Oryctolagus cuniculus: one gene and its partner. The protein of the gene in region 2 purifies or fractionates together with the protein of the main gene of each other region. This does not show direct contact. Links are inferred from orthologs where the notes say so. Each region holds a gene or a part of one and is shown on either strand. Other genes may lie near its edges.

The links.
Region 1: the proteins of RPA2 (region 2) and ATRIP purify together in Homo sapiens (affinity purification with western blotting; 5 studies listed by BioGRID, with this or other methods). This does not show direct contact. The link is inferred for Oryctolagus cuniculus from reciprocal best matches to the Homo sapiens genes RPA2 and ATRIP.

What each region holds. Positions count from the first base shown.
Region 1 is NC_091441.1:100,604,510-100,615,325, forward strand, and holds the start of ATRIP (ATR-interacting protein), read right to left. Parts: upstream 5,193-10,816; 5' UTR 5,087-5,192; coding exon 4,759-5,086; intron 3,216-4,758; coding exon 3,085-3,215; intron 831-3,084; coding exon 660-830; intron 1-659. Other genes in the region: TMA7 (translation machinery-associated protein 7), read right to left, coding at 7,682-7,716, 10,718-10,805. UniProt on the Homo sapiens protein: Required for checkpoint signaling after DNA damage. Required for ATR expression, possibly by stabilizing the protein.
Region 2 is NC_091438.1:143,727,600-143,737,940, reverse strand, and holds part of RPA2 (replication protein A 32 kDa subunit), read right to left. Parts: intron 9,263-10,341; coding exon 9,161-9,262; intron 9,039-9,160; coding exon 8,925-9,038; intron 4,767-8,924; coding exon 4,692-4,766; intron 3,843-4,691; coding exon 3,726-3,842; intron 1-3,725. UniProt on the Homo sapiens protein: As part of the heterotrimeric replication protein A complex (RPA/RP-A), binds and stabilizes single-stranded DNA intermediates that form during DNA replication or upon DNA stress.

The DNA of each region.
Region 1 (10,816 bases), on a different chromosome or scaffold from region 2:
AGGCAGCGCAGGTCTGCACTGGATGCCTACTGCTCTCTCTCCCAGGACAGTGTCTCCTTGTCCCTGAGAAGCAATCACCTCTCAACCTCTGCGTGACTGCAGTGGCAGATTTTATCTCTGCGCTTATATCAGCTCATCCAGGGACAAGCACCTGACTCAAGTTAGGTTTATCACAGGCCTCCTCAGAATTTTAAGCCTTCAGATAAGGGAGCCCCAGTCTGAACTCTGCACTGGAGTTAGGAAGTCAGCCCGGCAGCTCCTGGAGAACACATCCTCTGCCCCAGGAGGGAGCCTCTCTAGAGCACAGGCCATGAAATTGTGTCCTGGCAAGGTTGAAGACATTCCAGTTTCCCCCAGGCTCGATTACGGAAGCCAATACATTCCCTTTTCGCCTACACTAGGTCAAGTAAGTTTCTAACCCACTACAAGAGCCTTCATTTACCTGCTTCTAGACATTCTAAATCAGGGGTTTAGCCTTGCTAAGACCAACTACCAGGGCCAAGTGGCATTTCATCTAAGTCATTTTCCTGACTACATGCACACCACGGAAGAACATCTGCGGGACAACTAGCTAAAAGCACCAAAGTGTGTACCACAGCACGTGCTGAAACCTCCCTGGGCAACACCGGCCCTTGCTTCTCAAGGAATGCTTTGCTCACCTTCTTGGAGAATTCCTTTTCTTTGTCACTAAGGGCTTGGGTTTTCTCCTGCTCAAGAAGGAAATGGGATCTTCTCTGCTCCTCTAGAACAGATTCTGTCTGATGCAGCGAGTCTCGCAAAATTTTAATTTCTCCATTCTTAATGAGGACTTTTTCTTCCATCGCCTTCAGCTGTAAATTAAACATTAATCTTGTGAAAAGTCTGTACGGTAAAGTTATTTACACACTTTGTTTTAATCTACAGCTGGGGAGATACAGAAAGCACAGGGAGACCGGCACTGTGGCATAGTGGGTAAACCTGCTGCCTGCAATGCTGGCATCCCATATGGGCGCCAGTTCGAGTCCTGGTTGCTCCACTTCCAATCCAGCTCTCTGCTATGGCCTGGGATAGCAACAGAAGATGGCCCAAGTCCTTGGACCCCTTGCACCCATGTGGGAGACCTGGAGGAAGTTCCTGGCTCCTGATTTCAGATTGGCCCAGCTCTGGCTATTGTGGGCATTTGGGGACTGAACTAGCAGATGGAAGATCTCTCCAACCCTTTCAAACAAATACATCTTAAAAAAAGGGGAGGGGGGTGTGTGCTGTGGGATAGCGAGTTAAGCCGCCACCTGCAGTGCCAGCATCCCAAATGGGTGCCGGTTCGAGTCCTGACTGCTCCACTTCTGATCCAGCTCTCTGCTATGGCCTGGGAAAGCAGTAGAAAATGGCCCAAGTCCTTGGGCCCCTGCACCCACATGGGAGACCCAGAAGCAGCTCTGGGCTCCTGGCTTCAGATCAGTGCAGCTCCAGCCATTGTGGGCAACTGGGGAGTGAACCAGTGGATTGAAGACCTTTCTCTCTCTCTCTGCCTCTCTGTGACTCTGTCTTTCAACTAAATAAATCAATCTTTAAAAAAAAATTATTGGGGTGGGCACTGTGACACAGTAGGTTAAGCCAGTGCTTGGGATGCCCACATCCCACACTGGTGTGAGGGTTCATTTCCCAGCACCACACTTTTGACCCAGCTTCCTGTTAATCTTTCTGGGATACAGAGAATAGCTAAGCACTTGGGTTCCTGCCAGCCACGTGGGAGTCCCAGATGAGACTCTACCTTACCCTCTGTCATCCTGCCTTTTCAAACAACTTTTCTTAAAAATTTATTTAGGAGCCGGCACTGTGGCATGGGGGGTAAAACCACCACCTTCAGTGCTGGCATCCCATACAGGTGCCTGTTCGAGTCCTGGCTGCTCCACTTCCGATCCAGCTCTCTGCTATGGCCTGGGAAAGCAGTGGAAGATGGCCCAAGTACTTGGGCCCCTACATCCATGTGAGAGACAAGGAAGAAGCTTCTGGCTCCTGCCTTTCGACTGGCACAGCTCTGTCCTTGTGGCCATCTGGGGGAGTGAGCCAGCTTATGGAAGACCTCTCCTTCTGCCTCTCAGTAATTCTTCCTTTCAGATAAGTAAATTAAAAAAATTTATTTAAATATAAAATTAAAAAAACATGCATACCATAAATTCATCTCTCATTTTATCTCTTCTTGGATTTAGTATAAAATGTTTCTTTTCCTTCTAAAAAACTTTTTTTTTAATTAGAAGAGCAGAGTGACAGAGTGATGTTCCACCTGTTGGTTCACTCCCCAAACGTCTGCAACAGCTAGAGCTGGGCCAGGCTGAAGCTGAGAGCCTGGAACTCAATCAGGGTCTTCCGCATGGGTGGCAGGGACCCAAGCACTTGAACCATCATCTGCTGCTTCCCAGGGTGTGCCTCACCAGGAAGCTGGAATCAGAAGCAGAGCTGGGATTTAAATCAAACATTCCGATACAGAAAGCGGGCATCCCAAGTAGCCTTTTTTTTTTTTTTTTTTTTTTTTTTTGACAGAGTGGACAGTGAGAGAGAGAGAGAAAGGTCTTCCTTTTCCATTGGTTCACCCTCCAATGGCTGCCGCTGCTGGTGCGCTGTGGCAGGCGCACCGCGCTGATCCAATGGCAGGAGCCAGGTGCTTCTCCTGGTCTCCCATGGGGTGCAGGGCCCAAGCACTTGGGCCATCCTCCACTGCCCTCCCTGGCCACAGCAGAGAGCTGGCCTGGAAGAGGGGCAACCGGGACAGAATCCGGCACCCCGAATGGGACTAGAACCCAGTGTGCCGGCGCCGCAAGGTGGAGGATTAGCCTAGTGAGCCGTGGCACCGGCCCCAAGTAGCATCTTAAAGTTCTGTGCCAAATACCTTTCCCATAATTTTTTCTTCTCGCCTAGCTCTAAGCAACCTCACAATCTATAATTCTTCAGCCTAAATGTTCTGGCTTTCTTTCCCCAGTGTTCTTCATTTTGTAGCTGTGAATCTATGCTCTTAAAAACCTTCATATTTTTATCTTTTATTGTACAATGTCTTCTAACACGTAAGTGAATGAATTAACTGCAAAAACCACAGGTTAAATTACTTACCTTTTCTTTTAGTTCTTTGTATTGTGCTTGAAGTATTTCTAACTCAAAATTATCTTTAACAGGTACACTTTCTCTGTTTTTCCCTGCTGGAGTTTTTGACATCCCATCTAACCTGGGAACTTTATGAATACCTGTAGGAAAAGAAAAAACAGTTCCCATACATAATTTAGCACCCAACATTTTCCTACTTTTGCTAGAAAATGCTGAAAAGAATCAATCTTGAGAGCAAAGTAGAGAAAGTTCTATAAGCAAGACATATAGGGAATTCCCAACCTAAGAGGAGGATTCAAACTCATAAATGATACTTAGGAAATAGTGGATCTTTTCACCCTGTCTATATCCTCACCCGATTTCAAGTCTCACTGAAGGGTGAGAGGTGGTGAGGGGCTCTCACCGGCCAGAGCTCGGTGTCACGTTATTTAGCAGTATTTACTGAGCGCCAATACAGCTGGCATGGGGAACACAACAGATACAGTCTTCATACACAAATAAATGTTAAATTACAACCGTGAGGAGAGCCTCTGCTAAGAGGCATCTGAGCCAAACGCAGTGACTGGAAGGCTTCCCTCAGGAAGCCTTCAGGAGCTGTGGTTCAAAGACAAGCCGGACTGAACCCTGAGGGCAGATGGCTAGCAAGAACAGTCAGTGTGTAACAAAGAGCAACGTGCAAAGTTCCTGTATTAGAAGCAAACAGGGAGCAATCACAGAACGAGGCAAAGTTAGTGTGGCTAGCAGTCGGGGCAGACCACGCACGTTAAGGGTTTAGGTCTTCATTCTAGAAGCAGAGGGAAGTTATTAAAGGACGTCCGGCAGCTATGTTCACATTTGTCTGTGCGACATGGCCCAGTGTGGGTTCTGCAAGGATCGTTCTGGCTGTAGTGTGAAGTCTGACTTGCAGGCAGTCAGCACAGGGAATGGGGAGCCAGGTTAGCAATCTCGTGCAGGGGCGGACTCTCAGGGAGTTCAGAGACCATGGGAACAGGATGGAGTCCAGAGACAGACCCAGGAAGTGGGCAGGATTGGCAAAGGAAAGAGAGGTAGGGTGAAGGCGGAAGACAGTCTGCCGGGGGGAGCATCTGGTCATCACAGGTGTCTTCTCCAAGTCTGCCGAGCGGGAATAGCGCGGGAGACGCTGCAGGAGGCCTGGGTTTCCGGACCATTACCGTGTTGAGTTTCAGATGCCTGTCAAACAACTACAGAGGCAAGATGTCCCGGAAACCTTTCTGGAAGCCGCATGAGACTCAACTACGGAGCGAGCGCCATGCAGGATGTGCCCTATTTTGTTAATTGGTAGGCCGGCTGCATGTGGCGCTGATTAAGCTTGTCTAAGAATAAATTTTTGATCTGTTGCCTCTGCTAGGCTCCTCCTAGGCTCATGCTAAGGGGCACGAGGGCTTCAGATTTAAAGACTCGCACGTGGGTAGCCATGGTTCCGGTAGATGTGTTCCACGGATCTCTGCTTAGAACCTTTTAAGAACCGAGTAGCCTTAACTTAAAAAAAAAAAAAAAAAAAAGTCAACCTAGCTTTCTATATTTCCAAGTGATATTCCAGATGCATTTCTCCCCCAAATCGAGGGAGCTCCTGGAACACAACCAACTGCTCCAATCGGGGCGTTACTGTATTTTTAAGAAGGTTAAGGGAGTGTTAGTTCAGGACACTGGGGCAGCGCTCGCCTGGAGTTCGGAAGCCACAGCGGTCAAGGAGATGTGGTGCGGTCTGCACTGCCCTCCGGGGAAGAGGCCGGGAAGGGCACTCACTGGACACGTCCCGGGCCGCGGCCGGGCATTGGCTCAGGGCCTGTGACGCGAGGATGTCGAGCTCCTCCAGGTCGTCAGCGGTGAAGTCTCCGTGCTCGCCGAACGGGTCTTCAGGGTCCGGGGCGGCGGCCTCAGGGAAACCCCGGGCCCGCTTGCTTGGGGGGTGCCCAGTGGAGGGCAGCGGGCTAGGGCGAGGGGCTGCGGGCCCGCTCCGCCTCCTGCCCGGCGCGGAGGTCCCAGCCATGCCTCCAGCCGGCCCCAAGCATCTGAAGACGCCAAATCCCACACGGCAGCGCGAAGCCGCCGGCGAGCCAACCGCCCGCGAGCCGGCACTCGCCTCAGCCTCTTATGCACCGCCCCCGACCCCACGGGCCAATCAGCTGCCGGCCCGCGAGCGCGGAGAAATGACGTCTCTCCGAGCGCGCCGCCAGGCTCGGCCGAGTCCCCGCCAGTGTCGATGGCGCCCCGCCCCTCTCCGCCCAGCTGAGCCCGGCTCCGGCGCCGGGGGTTTTCGGGGAAACCTCGAGGTTGCCTGGCGCCCAGCAGAGCACAGAACTGCGGGGGACAGTTCGCCCTGACAGTCACCCTTGTGCGTTTGAATCGAGGCAGGCAGAGTTCAGGGTTCTGGCCCCCGAGAGCTCGCTGCCTCTTTCCATCACATACTCCGAGGCTCCTTTAGGGAGATTAGGCGAGGAGTGTGAAATGTGTGGCATTTGAGGTAGGTTTCGGGAAGACAGGTCCAAGGAGAACCATCCGTGTGGGAAGTGCTCAGACTTCTTTCATTCATTCATTCATTCATTCTCTCGGAGATTGCTGGAGCATATTTGTCACAAGCACTGGTTGTATAAAGATGAGTGAGGGTCAGGTCAAGGAAGAGCCCCCCCCCCCCCCCGAAGTGGCACCTGGGCTGTCCTACAGGTTGTCAGGTGGGAGACAGCAAGATAAAGGGGTAGAAGGCTAGCGCAGAATTCCCCACCCAAGGCAGGCCAGGTGTTGGTAATCTATGGCAGACAGTAAGGCTTCCCAGAGTGGTAGCTGCGGTGCGCAGAGCAGTTGAACAGGGGAGATTGGCACGGAGAGTAACAGGAGCAAGATTCTTAAACCTTGGGTACTCAGTGCCAAACTGAGCCTGAGTCTCCTACCAATACCTGTGAGGGCAGACTGCTGTCAAGTCCTAGAAGGCTTTCGTGTTTTCTGAAACTCGGCTGCACAAATGTCGAATGCTTCCATATTAATTGCTGTAGGTCTCTGGCCTTGGAAAGACAGGATCACCCATCAGGAGGGATTAGATTCTGCCAGAGAGCAGCGACTTGCTCTCAGAGGCAGTGTGCTCTCACGGGCGGTGCAAGGACTGATTTTGACAGCACACTGCGGGGTGCCAGCTTGCAAGGCCCCATGGGAAATGTTCTGCAGCCCAGAGGAGCTGCTAGTTGTGCAACTTCCCAGAGGACCAAAGCACCCTGTCACCATCGACTACGTTAATCACAGGACAGGGTTTAATCTGTCACTTTTCCAGTTTTCACCTGGCCAAGCCTACAAGCCTCTCTGAGGACATCCTCAGAGAAAGCTTAGCTTTAGTCCCATAGCTGCATCAATGGCCTGCACTTGTGCTTCTGAAGTGATACAATAAATACATGTGACTATCATGGGCTTCAAAATATTTTGCCACCAAAATAAACTCCCACTTCCTGCAGACTTTGGAGTACCTCCACATTTAGCACACCTTATGGTCACTGTCCTAACGTTTACATTTTAGTCAGAGATGGTAGATAACTGGGAGAGAAAAATAAAGACAATGGGACTGACTGCAAACTCATTGTTAGCAGGAGAGCTCACTATTGTGATGGCGGAGTTTTGGTCTTCTGAGGAATACAGGGAGTGTTCAGCATCTATGAGAACGTGCAGGTGGAAAGGAGCTGGGAGCTGGCCTCAAGCCGCTGGCTGAGGAGGACCGGGGGCTGGGTAATGCATATAAGGCAGTGGCATCCATACCCCTTTGCACTGTGGCGTTGCTAACTCTGAGCCAAGAAACAAAGTATGACTCACGGTTCAGCAAGCGCGCTCTGGACCCGAGTGAACTCTGGAGGCAACTGCAGTCATACAGGTGAAGGGTCAGAGCTGCAGTGGGCACATGGCGCTGAGAGGACACTAAGGTAATCTGATTTTGCTCATGGACTGGATGTGAGGTCTAACATGGGACCCCAGCAAGGACCTTAGTGCAAATGTTGTCCCTAGGGCTTCTGGGGGAGTCTGATACTGAAGAGACGTTCAGGAATCTCACTCCCTTCTTTCCCCTTTCACGGTGCACATCTCCTGTATTCGTCTTGTCCCCCTCCCACGACAGGAAGTTGCTCGCTGACGCTGGCTGTTTACTGGCACTGGCCCGGTGGCCACACACAGCACACGTGCGTACTGTAGCAGAGAAAGAGGAGCCACGTTTTCCTTCCCAAGTACTTCTTCCACAAATCTCATGTAAGGTATTGTCAGGTACACAACCACACAGGAGCTACAGCCTTTCCAATGCCGTGGTTTAATTCCAGGTGACACAGAATTTGGAGAGCAAAGAGCAGACTCTGGAAGGGTTCTCGGCTGGGTTTACTTTAAATTCACAGCTGGGAGTGGCTGAGTGAAAACAACTAAGACAGTGAGCTACAGTACAGTGGAGTTTATTCCCCTTTTTACAAAATTTTATTTGTAAATGTACAACAGGCTCCAAGATAACACTTAACTCTTAACACTTCATTCTAACTACGGTGGCATAAGATGTTATGGCCGGGAATCGAGATGTTTAGCTAGGAATGCAATCAAGGGCGTCATCACTTCAGGCACAAGGAACAGCTTACTTTTTGCCAGATTTCTTAATTCCACCTGTGGCTGCAAAAGGAAAGGAAAAAAAAAAAAAATCCCGTTAGAGAGAAACCGTTCCTATGGGAGAAGTCCCATGGGTCTGATGTAGACCCTGGTAAAGTGTGGCTCTCAGTCTGGGGGTCTATCTTGACAAAAAGATGCAGAGTGGCCTTTCAGCTTTCTGTTCTGGTCTTACTCTCCATGCCACAACTCATTTTAGAGGTAGAGTTACAGACAGTGAGAGGGAGAGACAGAGAGAAAGGTCTTCCTTCCGTTGGTTCACTCCCCAAATGGCCACAATGGCCAGAGCTGTGCCAGTCAGAAGCCAGGAGCCAGGTGCTTTTTCCTGGTCTCCCATGTGGATGCAGGGGCCCAAGCACTTGGGCCATCTTCTACTGCTTTCCCAGGCCACAGCTGAGAGCTGGACTGGAAGAGGAGCAACCGGGACTAGAACCGGCACCCATATGGGATGCTAGTGCTGCAGGTGGAGGACTAACCTACTGCACCATAGGGCCAGCCCCTACAGGTCTTGTGTTAGGCACTGTTCAAAGTAATAAGCTGGCATGTGATGAACCAGGATTCCAAACCAGGTAGTCTAACTCCCAAGTCCATGTTCACTCATTCATTTAAGGGGCAGAAAGACAGACAGAGATGGAGACACAGAGTTCCCACCCACTAGTTCACTCCTCAAACGCCCACCGCAGCCAGGATCTGGAAGTCAATTCAGGTCTCCTACATGGGTGTCAAGAACCCAATTACTTGAGTCATTACTTGCTGCCGGCCATGGTCTACGCTAGCAGGAAGCAGGAACTGCGAGTCCAACCCCCGTCCATATTCTTAACTGCCACATTACACTACACCATCTATTACCTTCCATGTTATGATCCTGGCATCTCAGTCACTCACCACATTTACAGTACTCAATTTACAACTGACAACGTATTTTGCACCCAGTAAGCAACTTAATTAGAGAATGAAAGATGCCTAATATAGGAATGAAAATACAAAAAGGGCCACAACAAAATAAAGCTTTCAAAGTTAGCTGATGTTCAATGAACTCAATCCAGGTTTCCCACCTTGGTGGCAGGGACCCAAGTCCTTGAGCCATCACCTGCTGCCTGCCAGAGTGTACAACAGCAGGAAACTGGGCTGGGAATGGAGCCAGGGCTGGAGCCCAGACACTCTGATATGGACTCCAGGTACTCCAAGTGGTGTCTTAACAGCTCTATTAAATGCCTGCGCCTATACAGTACTTTTAGTGCACTTGCATTTTGACTGTGACCTGTCACATGAGGCCAGGTGTGGGATCTTCCATTTGTGATATAATATCGATGCTCAAAGTGTCGGGTTTGGAGCATTTCAGGTTTCAGCTATTAGAATTAGGGATGTTCAGCGTGCATAGGCTTACCAAGGATTGACCTTTTCCTGATACAGAATCACAGGTCAAGGGTAGCTACAAGAAACGTTGTTTCATTCTGAAAAGGAATCTCAGCACTGTATGGGTGAGAAATACTGGATCAAACACACTGGGACAAAGGTGTCGGCAGCCCTGGCAACACTCCCTCCCTCCCTGCCTCCACCATGCCCAGGGCGGCTGACAGCGCTGAACAAGGAAATCATCACTAGCTGCGGCGCAGTGGGTTGAGCCGCTGCCTGCAGTGCCCACATCCCATACGGGCGCCGATTCAAGACCTGGCTGCTCCACTTCGGATCCAGCTCTGCTATGGCCTGGGAAAGCAGTAGAAGGTGGCCCAAGTCCTTGGGCCCCTGCACCCGAGTGGGAGACCCAGAGGAAGCTCTTAGCTTCTAGCTTCGGATTGGCCCAGCCTGGGGCATTGTGACAGTTTGGGGAATAAACCAGCAGATGGAAGATCTCTGTCTCTCTGCCTCTGCCTTTCTGTAAGTGCCTTCCAAACAAATAAAAGAATCTTAAGGAAAAAAAAAAAAAAGGAAGAAGAAGTTAACAGGTGGCCAGTGTTGTGGCACAGCTGGTTAAGTTACTGCCTGCAATGCCGGCATCCCATATGGGCGCTGGTTAGAGTCCCAGCTGCTCCAATTCTGATCCAGCTCCCTGCTAATGCATCTGAGAAAGCAACGGATGATGGTTCAAGTGTTTGGGCCCCTGAACCCACATAGGAGACCTGGAAGAGGCTCCTAGTTCCTGGTTTCAGTCTGGCCCAACCCTGGTCATTGTGGCCACCTGGGGAGTGAACTGGCAAATGGAAGATCTCTGTTTCTAACTCTGCTTTTCAAATAAATAGAATAAATCTTCAAAAACAAAAGCAGCTAATGAAACATTAGGAGTCGGAGTAGGCACTGAGCCTAGTGGTCAGACACTTGCATCGCACACCTGAGTGTCTGGGTTGGATTCCCGCTTCAGCTTCCTGCCAATGCAGACCCTGGGAGACAGTGGTGGTGGCTCAGGCAGCTGGGTCCCTGCCACCCTAGGGTGACATCGAGATTGTATCCCCAGCTCTTCGTGTGGCATTTGGGGGAGTGAACCAGGGAATGGAACTCTGGAAAATCTTTTGAAATGTAATCAATTCCTCTTTTATAAAGGAAAAGAAGTGGCAAAATGGTGGAGAGCTAGCTTAGGAAAGCAGATCGAACAGTCCACCAAGGAGCCCAGACTTTTTACCTTTTGGTCTAGAAGTTCACTCAAGACACAAAAGCACTTGTTAAGAGACAACATGAGCAGTAAGTTCGAATGTTCAAAGTCGAGTCATGTTACCAGCACTGAAGACGTAGTAAAATGTAGATCTGGGACGGGAAGTCGTAGGAATTTAATGCTATGAACCTGTGTCTGCGGTAAATTCCTGTGTTTCTACAGCTTCCCCAAGAAATGGGAGTCCAGACTAGAGACTTCTTTCTGGTCCCGCTTCTGGCTCCTGCCCCTTCCCGCTGCTCCAAGTCCGTCACCGGGAACCGAGACCCCACAGCCGACCAACGGGCCAGCACGCAGACCTGCTCGGGCCTTCTTCCCAACAGGTGCTCAGCGCGTCTGTCCAGCCCCCGCGGCCTCACTTACCCAGGGGGCCCTTCCCCGCCGCCTTCGCTTTTAGCTCCTCGAGTTTCTTCTGCTCCTCTTTCTGTTTTTGCTTGAAAGCCTTATCTTCCTGGGGGCACG
Region 2 (10,341 bases):
TCCTGGCTCCTGATCGGTGCAGTGCACTGGCCGTGGTGACCATTCGGGGGGTGAACCAACGGAGGGAAGACCTTTCTCTCTGTCTCTGTCTCTGTCTAACTCTGCCTGTCAAACAAAACAAAACAAAACATAACAAACAAACAAACAAACAAAAAACCCAAAAACACAAAGCAGATGCATGAGTGCTGGAGAAGAGAAATCCTAGCCAGTAAGGAGATTCTTTTAAGAAGTGTTCAGGGGCCAGCGCTGTGGAGCAGTGGGAAAAGCCGTTGCCTGCAGTGCCAGCATCCCATATGGGCACCAGTTCAAGTCCCGGGTGCTCCAGTTCAGTTCCAGCTCTCTGCTATAGCCTGGGAAAGCATCAGAAGATGACCCAAGTCCTTGGGTCCCTGCACCCTTGTGGGAGACTGGGAAGAAGCTCCTGGCTCCTGATCGGCACAGCCCCAGCCATTGCGGTCATCTGGAGAGTGAACCAGTGGAGGGAAGATCTCTCTCTCTCCCTGCCCCTGCTTCTCTGTAACCCTGAATTTCAAATAAATAAATAAATAAATCCTAAAAAAAAAAAGGTGGGGGCCAGTTCAAGTCCTGGCTGCTCCACTTCCGATCCAGCTCTCTGTCATGGCCTAGGAAAGCAGCAGGAGATGGCCCAAATCCTTGGGCCCTTGCACCCATGTGGGAGGCCCGGAAGAAGCGCCTGGATCCTGGCTTTGGATCGGCTCAGCTCTGGCCATTGCAGCCAGTTGAGGAGTGAACCAGTGGATGAAGACGGCTCTCTCTCTGCCTCTTTCTCTTTCTGTGTATAGCTCTTTCAAAAAAAAAAAATCAATCTTTAAAAATAAATAAATAAATGCCTTCTGTCTTTGTACCATTAAAAAAAGTAAAAATCAACCATTGTCCCTTGTGGTCAAAGCTAAATGCTTCCATGCTGCCTGCTGGTGAAACAGGATTCTACATTTATTTATTTTTCTTTCTTTTTTCATTATTTATTTGAAAGTCAGAGTTATAGAGAGAAAGAGAGAGAGGGAAAGATCTTCTATCTGCTGGTTCACTCTCCAAATGGCTTGGGCCAGGCCAAAGCCAGGAGCCAGGAGCTTCATCTGGTCTCCCATGTGGGTGCGGGGGCCATCTTCTGCTGCTTTCCCAGGAGCATTAGCAGGGAGCTGGATCAGAAGCAGAGCAGCTAGAACTTAAATCAGCACCCATATGGGATGCCACACTGCAGATGGTGGTTCAAACTGCTATGTCACAGCGCTGGCCCAAGGACTCTACATTTTATCATCTAGTAATACTGAGTGGATTCTTTTTCTTTCTTTCTTTCTTTTTTTTTTTTTTGACAGGCAGAGTGGACAGAGAAAGGTCTTCCTTTGCCATTGGTTCACCCTCCAATGGCCGCTGCGGCCGGCACGCTGCAGCCGGCGCACCGCGCTGATCCGATGGCAGGAGCCAGGTACTTATCCTGGTCTCCCATGGGGTGCAGGGCCCAAGTATTTGGGCCATCCTCCACTGCACTCCTTGGCCACAAAAGAGCTGGCCTGGAAGAGGGGCAACTGGGACAGAATCTGGCGCCCTGACCGGGACTAGAACCCGGTGTGCCGGCGCCGCTAGATGGAAGATTAGCCTAGTGAGCTGCGGCGCCGGCCGGATTCTGTTTCTTACCCAAATTTCTTCACCAACATGACAACCGCCCTCCCCCTTTCAGATGGTCTCAGCTCATACCCAGTCTTGCCCTAAGACTTGGTTTAGGCATCGCCTTCTCCAGGCAGCCTTTCTACGTGTCCAGGCCAGGATGGGACATCCTGTTCTGTGGTTCCACAGCACCCCGCACTTGGCCAACTTATCAACGCTTCCACTGTTTGGGTGTCCCAACCCCCACTTTGTAATGTAGCCCCCTCTGAGGGAAAGAATCACCTTCTTTTCTTTGCCTTTAATATTCTAAGTACACTTGTAGCCTCTACTCCCTAACCAGCCATTCTCAGGTCAAAACCATTTTTATCAAATAATATGCATCACTAACATATGTAATAAAACAAACACTTTAAACTTCTAGCCGATCCCGTTCCCTTTAACCCCCTTCCCAGCCTCCATTGAAGTCTTTGAGAAGATCCACACGTCCAGATGCCAGGACAGACCTTTTTCATCACCTCACTGGGTGCCAGGCGGCATTCAACACTCTATCTCCGTTCTCTCCTTCATGAGACGATCTTTCCAGAATATTGTACAGAATCACAATTCCTGGTTTTCTGCTGCCTAAGCAGCAACCTCTCTGACTTTCAACGACTCCTACTGTTTCTAGATTTCTAAAGGTTTGTGTGTCCCAGCACTTAGGGTCTCCGCCCTCTTAACTCCCTAGTTACGTCATCATTCAAGGCTTTAAATTATCACCCCCACACAATGACTCCTACTGTTCTTTCTCCGGCCCTGACTTCTCCCCAGCCTCATACATTCAGCTGCTCACTTGGCTGTCTAACTGGCATCTCACACTTGCAAGGTCCAAAACAGAACTCTGCATTTTACCTCCAAGTCTGCTAGCTTTATCCAGCTGCTCAAGCCCCAGACACAGGAGTCATTTTTGAACTCTCCCTTTTCCCCTCCACATTTTTAAAGATTTATTATTTGAGGGGCAGAGTTATAGTGAGTGAAGGAGAAGCAGAGACAAAGAAATCTTCCATCTGCTGGTTCATTCTCCAAATACCTGCAATGGCCAGGGGTGGGCCAGGCTGAACCCAGGAGCCTAGAACTCCATCTGAGTCTCCCACATGGATGGCAAGAGCCTAGATACTTGGTCCATCACCCACTGCCTTCCCAGGAAGATTAGCAGGGAGCTGAGTTGGAAGCAGAGCAGCCGGGACTTGAATTCTGATGTGGGATGCTGGTCCTAAGTGACAACTTAACCTGCTGTGCTACGCCAGCCCCTAAATCTTAGCATTCCTGTTCCTGCCATCACTGTCTTGCAGCTTTATTTGAGCACCTACCCACCTGTAATTACATGCATTCTCTGGTTTCTTGCCTGCTTCTTTGAACAGGAATTTGAGAGCAGATCCTCTGCCTACCTCACTGCTGCATCCCGAAGGACTAGAATGGTGAGTGGCCCAGAGTAGGCTCCATGAGTGTTATTCAAATACATAAACAAACGAGTTTACCTCTGTATCCCAAATGCTTAGCAAAGGTTAGGTGGCAACAGCCCTGTCACTGGCTTATTAGTTCTCCTGTCTCCCATGTAACCAATCCTCCACTGGCTTCTCGAATCCTCTGGGAATTTCTAATACTAGAATCACCCTCTGTGTGGTCCTAGACAGATTTGCCAATGTGAATTCACACAACAGAAAATAACAGGAGAAATTTCAGGGGAAAATATAATGGTCAATGTTTCTCTTCAGCCAACAGGCTGGCAGGAAAGCAGTAAGATGGCATCCTACTCGTGGTTCTGACACTCCTGGAGCTAGCAGTGCAGCCTGTAGTTACCTGTCTATACCTGAGGGCTGTGCTAGGCCTCAGCCACCCAAGCCAACAGGTGAGAGGAACCCGTGGTTCTAAGCAACGTGAGTGCTTCATCGGGAATAAAAACAGCGAGGCTCACAGAGAAAAGGTCTGAGGACTGGGAGATGCTCCTCGGGCCCAGCCGTCACGATGTCAAGGCACCACAGCCAGCGCAGAACAGCAGCCTCTGCTCCGGGCAGCTGCCACCTGGCCGGGACTTGTTCAGCACCACGTGTGCGCTCGCTCACCTGGCTGTGTGACTTGTTCAGCATCATGTGCGCATTCACCACCTCTAGGATGTGAGCAGTGAACTCGTTCATGTCCTCCAGGGGCATGATCTTAAAGGCTACCAGGCTCTTCTTGTTCTGTTAAAAATAAAGAGAAAAAGGAGAATTAAGGCTGAACACATTCAAGAGAATTTCAGGTCAAAACACTGTGGCTTTTGGGTCATGGTATTTTTGCCAATCAGGGGAAAATGTCTGTTATATACTTAAAAATTTCAACTCAGGGTGGTTCAAATATAGTCAATAATGAGGGAAGAAGTCAAATGAGCTCAGAGATGTTCATGGCTTGTCCAAGCTCACACAACCAAGCAGAGTCTAGTATCTGGACTGCAATTCAGAATTCTCTCTTTGACCCTTTATGGATGCCACAGATGGCAATTGTAGGTAGATTCTTTTTTTTTTTTTTTAACAGGCAGAGTGGACAGTAAGAGAGAGAGACAGAGAGAAAGGTCTTCCTTTGCCGTTGGTTCACCCTCCAATGGCCGCTGCGGCCAGTGTGCTGCAGCTGGCGTACCGCGCTGATCCGAAGCCAGGAGCCAGGTGCTTCTCCTGGTCTCCCATGGGGTGCAGGGCCCAAGCACTTGGGCCATCCTCCACTGCACTCCCGGGCCACAGCAGAGAGCTGGCCTGGAAGAGGGGCATCAGGGACAGAACCCAGTGCCCCAACCGGGACTAGAACCCGGTGTGCCAGTGCCACAGGTGGAGGATTAGCCTAGTGAGCCGCAGCGCCAGCCAATTGTAGGTAGATTCTATTTTTTCTCTATCATCCTGTTACTTTTATATTAAAGTACAAAGCAGTTCTGTCCTTTTGAAGAAGAGAATAATGAAGTAACTTCCCATTAAAAATGGAACTTAATTAAGTATTAAATATCTGAAACCTAGAAGCCACTTCATACAAATCCACTGTAACTGCCTTTTCATTGCCTTTACCTGGAAAGACCTCAGGTGACCAGCCACCTTCACGTATGTTTCTGGAGGAACCACGGTGTTCTCCCCACTGGCGTCCTAACAGATGAAATACAAACATGTCACAAAGGTCTCAGGGCACTAATGAAAGACAGCCTCTTTAAAATTTCTAAATATTGTACAGAATAAGAAAGTTACAAAGTAAAGAGCTAAAGGACCCTAATACGGCAATAACTAGTTTACCTCATTTTAGAGCTGCAAAAACCTCTCTAAAAATAATTCCCAGCTCCAAAGTTGTATGTTATGTACATCTTTCATAAAGGGCAAACAATTGTGACATCCTCACTCAACGTTCTCAGGTACACTGTTTTCTGTTGGACATGTGTGCTAGGAAAGCAACTCACTTTTAGAAATTAAAGGAAATAATTAAGAACATGCATTAAAATTCAGATTCATCAAAGTTATCAGAATACTGTTTAGATTACTAAATGTTTTAAAGCAACCTAAATATCCAACATAAAGGACACTTCATATAATGCAATATTCCACACTGCTGCAAACTGCGCACAATTCTACTCCCTGTCTGAGAAGAGCAGCTGTAACACTTTGAAAATGCTGATTTCTCAAGTGGGGGAAAATGTACACCAAAATGTTCACAGTGCTTAACTAGGATAATTATAAACAACTTTAATATTTCCTTCTTCCTAGAATATGCACATAATGTTTATATGACTTTGGAAAACTAGAAAATAAAGTGCACGCATTTAAAAATAAGAACACTGCGGGCCAGCCTTGTGTCTGTGGCCTGGCCCACCTCCGGCCGTTGCGCCCATTCGAGGAGTGGATGGAAGACTTCTCTCCCCCTGCCTTTCAAACTCCCTCTCTGTAACTCTGGCTTTCAAATAAATTAAAAATAAATAAATAAATAATTAAATAAAGCTGGATTGCTGTGTCTCTCCTCTTATCCATATATACTCCAAATACATGGAATGACTTACAAAAAAGAAAAACCATAGACATTATAGATAGAAATACAGACAATTAAAAAACACTTTGGGACTAAGAAAAACTTTTCAAAGTGAAAAAGGTAAGCTACAGAAACTGTTTTCACAGTTTCAAGGGGCAGCTATTTTGCTGTGCCAAATGTCCACTCCACTAACATATATTCTAGTTTCTAGTTCAGTTCATTTTCTTCTTCTTCTTCTTCTTCTTTTTTTTTTTTTTTTTGCATAAGATTTATTTATTTGAAAGGCAGAGCTACAGGGGGAGAGGGAGAGAGAAAGACAGAGAGAGAGAGAGAGAGCAAGCAAGCTCCATCTTCCATCCACTGGTTCATTCCCCAAATGGCTCCAATGGCCAGGGCGGGGCCGAGGTAAAGGCAGGAGCTTATAACTCTATCCAGATATACCACGTAGATGGCAGAGGCCCGAGCACTTGGACCATCTTGTACCGCTTTTCCAGATGCACTAGCAGGGGGCTAGATAGGAAGTGGTGCAGCATGGGATCAGTGCTGTGGTGTAGCGGGTAAAACCACCACCTGTAGAGCTGACATCCCTTAAGGGTGTTGGTTCAAGTCCCAGCTGCTCCACTTCCAATCTCTCTGCTTTGGCCTGGGAAAACAGAAGATGGCCCAACTCCCTGGCTTTGCATCCACGTGGGAGACTTGGAAGACACTCCAAGCTCCTGGCTTCAGATCAGCCCAGCTCTATCCATTAAGGTCATCTGGGAAGTAAACCAGCAGACGGAAGACTCTCTCTCTCCCTCTGCCTCTCTGTAACTCTGCCTTTCAAATAAATAAATAAATCTTAAAAAAATAAATAAAAGAAAGTGGAGCAGCTGGGACTTGAACCGTCACTAGACTATGGAATGCCGGCATTGCAGGTGGCAGTTAACCCACTGTGCTACAACGCCAGTTTCTCTTTCAATTCATTTTCTTCGTATTTATAGACAATCATATACACATTACATTACAAAAACGAGGTCAAATCATACATACATACATACATCTTGCAACACGTTCCTTTTCTCAAATTGACAGTAAATATTTCTTTGTGATGATACATACATTTCTAAATAATTTGCAGTATGTATAAATAAACCATGGCTTACTTAATAATCTCCTATTGCTAGCATTTTGGTTTTGCTTTTAATTTTTCATTAACACATTATGATCAACATTGTGTTCTGTTTTGTTTTGACAGGCAGAGTTAGACAGTGAGAGAGACAGAGAGAAAGGTCTTCCTTTGCCATTGGTTCACCCCCAAAATGGTTGCTACGGCTGGCTTGCTGCACCGATCCAGGTGCTTCCTCCTGGTCTCCCATGCGGGTGCAGGGCCCAAGTACTTGGGCCATCCTCCACTGCCTTCCCTGGCCACAGCAGAGAGCTGGACTGGAATAGGAGCAATCGGAACAGAATCCGGGGCCTCAACCAGGACTAGAACCCGGGGTGCCGGCGCCGCAGGCGGAGGATTAGCCTAGTGAGCCATGGCGCTGGCCATGATCAACATTCTTAGAAGTGAATCTTTGAATGCACCTTTAATTATGTCAGTATAAAACTCTAGAAGTAGAGTTGCTGTTTCAACATTTTAATCATTGAAAATTTTGACACAGGATGTTTGAGGAAGGGTTTGCCAATTCTTGTTTATATTATCGGGGTAGAATGGTATTTTTCCTTAAACAATGGCAAATCATTCAACACATATTAGGTGCCTACTAAGTGCGAGAGGCACTATGCTGCTCTCACCAGAACCTGACACTGTCATTCTTTGAAATTTCTTTGCCAATACAATGAATTAAAAATCGTATCTCGGGGTCAAAGCTGCGGTGCAGCAGGCTAGGCTGCTGCCTGCAGTGCCAGTATCCCATCCGAAGGCAGGCTCGAGCCTCAGCTCCCTGCTAACGCACTTGAAAAGGCAGTGAAGGATGGCCCAAGTGCTTGGGCCCCTGCACCCACGTGGGAGACCTGGAAGAAGCTCCTGGCTCCGGATCAGCCCAGCTCTGGCCGTTGCGCCCAACTGGGGAGTGAACCAGCGGATGGAAGACCTCTCTCTCTTTGCACCTCTCCTTCTCTCTCTGTGTAACTCTTTCAAATAAATAAATAGATCTTTAAAACTTCTTTGTCCATTTTCCTAAGGTGCAATTGTGGGTGTTTTTTTTCACTTTGTAAGCATTTTTAGTTAATATTTAAAATGTTTGTCATTTGTTGCAAATATTTTCTCCATTCATATAAACAGTAAACAGTATTTACTAAGTCAGGCTGGGCCAATTATGTCACTGACATTATTCTAGGTGTTCTAGGTGCTGGGAATACAAAGGTGATCAAAGAAATAATTTTTGTTCTCTTGGAATTTACATTCTACGGTGTCCTGTCACTTGCCTTTTTAGTATTTTGGGAAATTTACAAGGTTTTAAACTTTTCTTTTTTTTTTGACAGGCAGAGTGGACAGTGATAGGGAGAGACAGAGAGAAAGGTCTTCCTTTGCTGTTGGTTCACCCTCCAATGGCCGCCGCGGCTGGCGCACCACACTGATCCGAAGCCAGGAGCCAGGTGCTTTCCCTGGTCTCCCATGCGGGTACAGGGCACAAGCACTTGGGCCATCCTCCACTGCACTCCCGGGCCACAGCAGGGAGCTGGCCTGGAAGAGGGGCAACCGGGACAGAATCTGGCGCCCCGACCAGGGCTAGAACCCAGTGTGCCGGCACCGCAGGCGGAAGATTAGCCTATTGAGCCGCGGCGCCGGCCAAGGTTTTAAACTCTTACGAAGGGGCCAGCACTGTGGCATAGTGGATAATGCCGCTGCCTACAGTGCCAGCATCCCATATGAACACTGGATCAAGTCCCGGCTGCTCCACTTCTGACCCAGCTCTCTGCTATGGCCTGGAAAATCAGTGGAAGATGGCCAAAGTCCTTGGGCCCATGCACCCCCATGGGAGACCCAGAAGTTTCAGGCTCTTGGCTTCGGATCTGCCCAGCCCTTGCCATTGCGGCCATTTGGGGAGTGAACCAGCAGATGGAAGATCTTTCTCTCTCTGCCTCTCTGTAACTCTGCCTTTCAAATAAAATAAGTAATAAACACATACATAAATAAAATAACTTTTATGGAATCAAATATATTAATGCATCACAGTAGGGCTTCTGCCTCTGACGTCTCACTTAAGTATTATTTTTTATTAAAAATTTTAAAAGGTAATATTTAAAAAGTGCATCTTCTCCAAAGTCCCAAAGTAACCCTACCCTGATCAAAAACAGCCTCTTACATCTGTGTCGACCCACTGACGGACGTCCATGGGTGCAGCTGTCATGTCATCTATTTTGTAAACAATGTTGGTTGGTGCCTTCTCCGCATGTCTGATTATCCCCACGATGGTGACCTAGGTTAGGAGAAAAAAAAACAACTTTATCTTTCAAGAAACCAAAGCAGCACATATGCATTTTTAAATTAAGTCATTTCATTCTTTATATGATCGACTCTTACACAAATTCTTTCACATACCTGTGAAATCTCAACATTCCCAATTTTGAAAACTTCATCGGCCAGAGTGGCAGAAAGCAGCTGGGATATGGTACAGGGCACAATGTGCTGGGCTCGGGCTCTCTGCAAAGCAACGTGTGCATAAATTCAACTAAAAGTATAGTGATGACCACGCATTTAACACCTGCCACCTGCCAAACACATTAAATAAATTGGAACATTAAACTTTCTCTAAAAAAATTTAAACAATTTACTTTCATTTTATTTGGAAAGCAAATAAAGAACTTGAGAAAGAATCTTCCGTCCACTGACTCACTCCCCAAATGCCTGCAATAAGCAGAGCTGGGCTGGGCCAAGGCCAGGAGCCAGGACCTTGAACCAGGTTTCCCTCATTGGTGGTAGGGACCCAAGTCATCCGGGCCATCATCCGCTGCCTCCAGGGTACACATTAGCAGGAAGCTGATACAGAAGTAGAGTCAAGACTTACACACAGGCACGAGGACAGGATGCAGGCGCCCTAGGCAGTATCATCACTGCTACCCCAAATGTCCACCCTGGACACTGAATCACAGGGATCACATAGCTCACAAATGCCACATCTGAGAATTCAAACCTGGGTTGTTCTGACCTCAAAGCTCCCACGGAACAGGTAAGTTGGAGCCACAGGGAGGACTCAAGAAAATGAGGTCAGCGGGGCGCCCAATCCGGAAGAGCCGCTGCCAGAACAGACCTTAACAGAAACCCCAGCTTGGAGGTGAAGGCAGGCTGGAGGTGGCAGCCGGTCACTGAGGAGATGGCACTGGGAAGGGTTTGAGAAATGGCCGGCAGAAGTAACGCTTTGGAACTGGTCTAGATCTCATAATGAAAACCTAACAGAAAGTTGGAAGTACAGTTTCCTTCAGGGCAGATGTGTGGCCATCAGAAGGAGCCCCTGATGCTAATGGGTTAGGAGCCTGGCCGCAGTGGACACTCAGTGAGGAGGGACAGCGTGGGGTGAGAGTGTCTAGTGAGGACACACGAGTCACACCCTAGAGCAACCTGACAACAGTGTAAACCCTCATTTTTGTCTACCACTGCCAAGGGAACGACAGGGTGACAAAGATGAAGCAGGTGGGAAAGGATTTGCCTTCAACACACCAACCAAGGGAGGTACAAATCCAAACATAAACCTCATCTTTTCTTTTTTTAGCATTATTTATTTG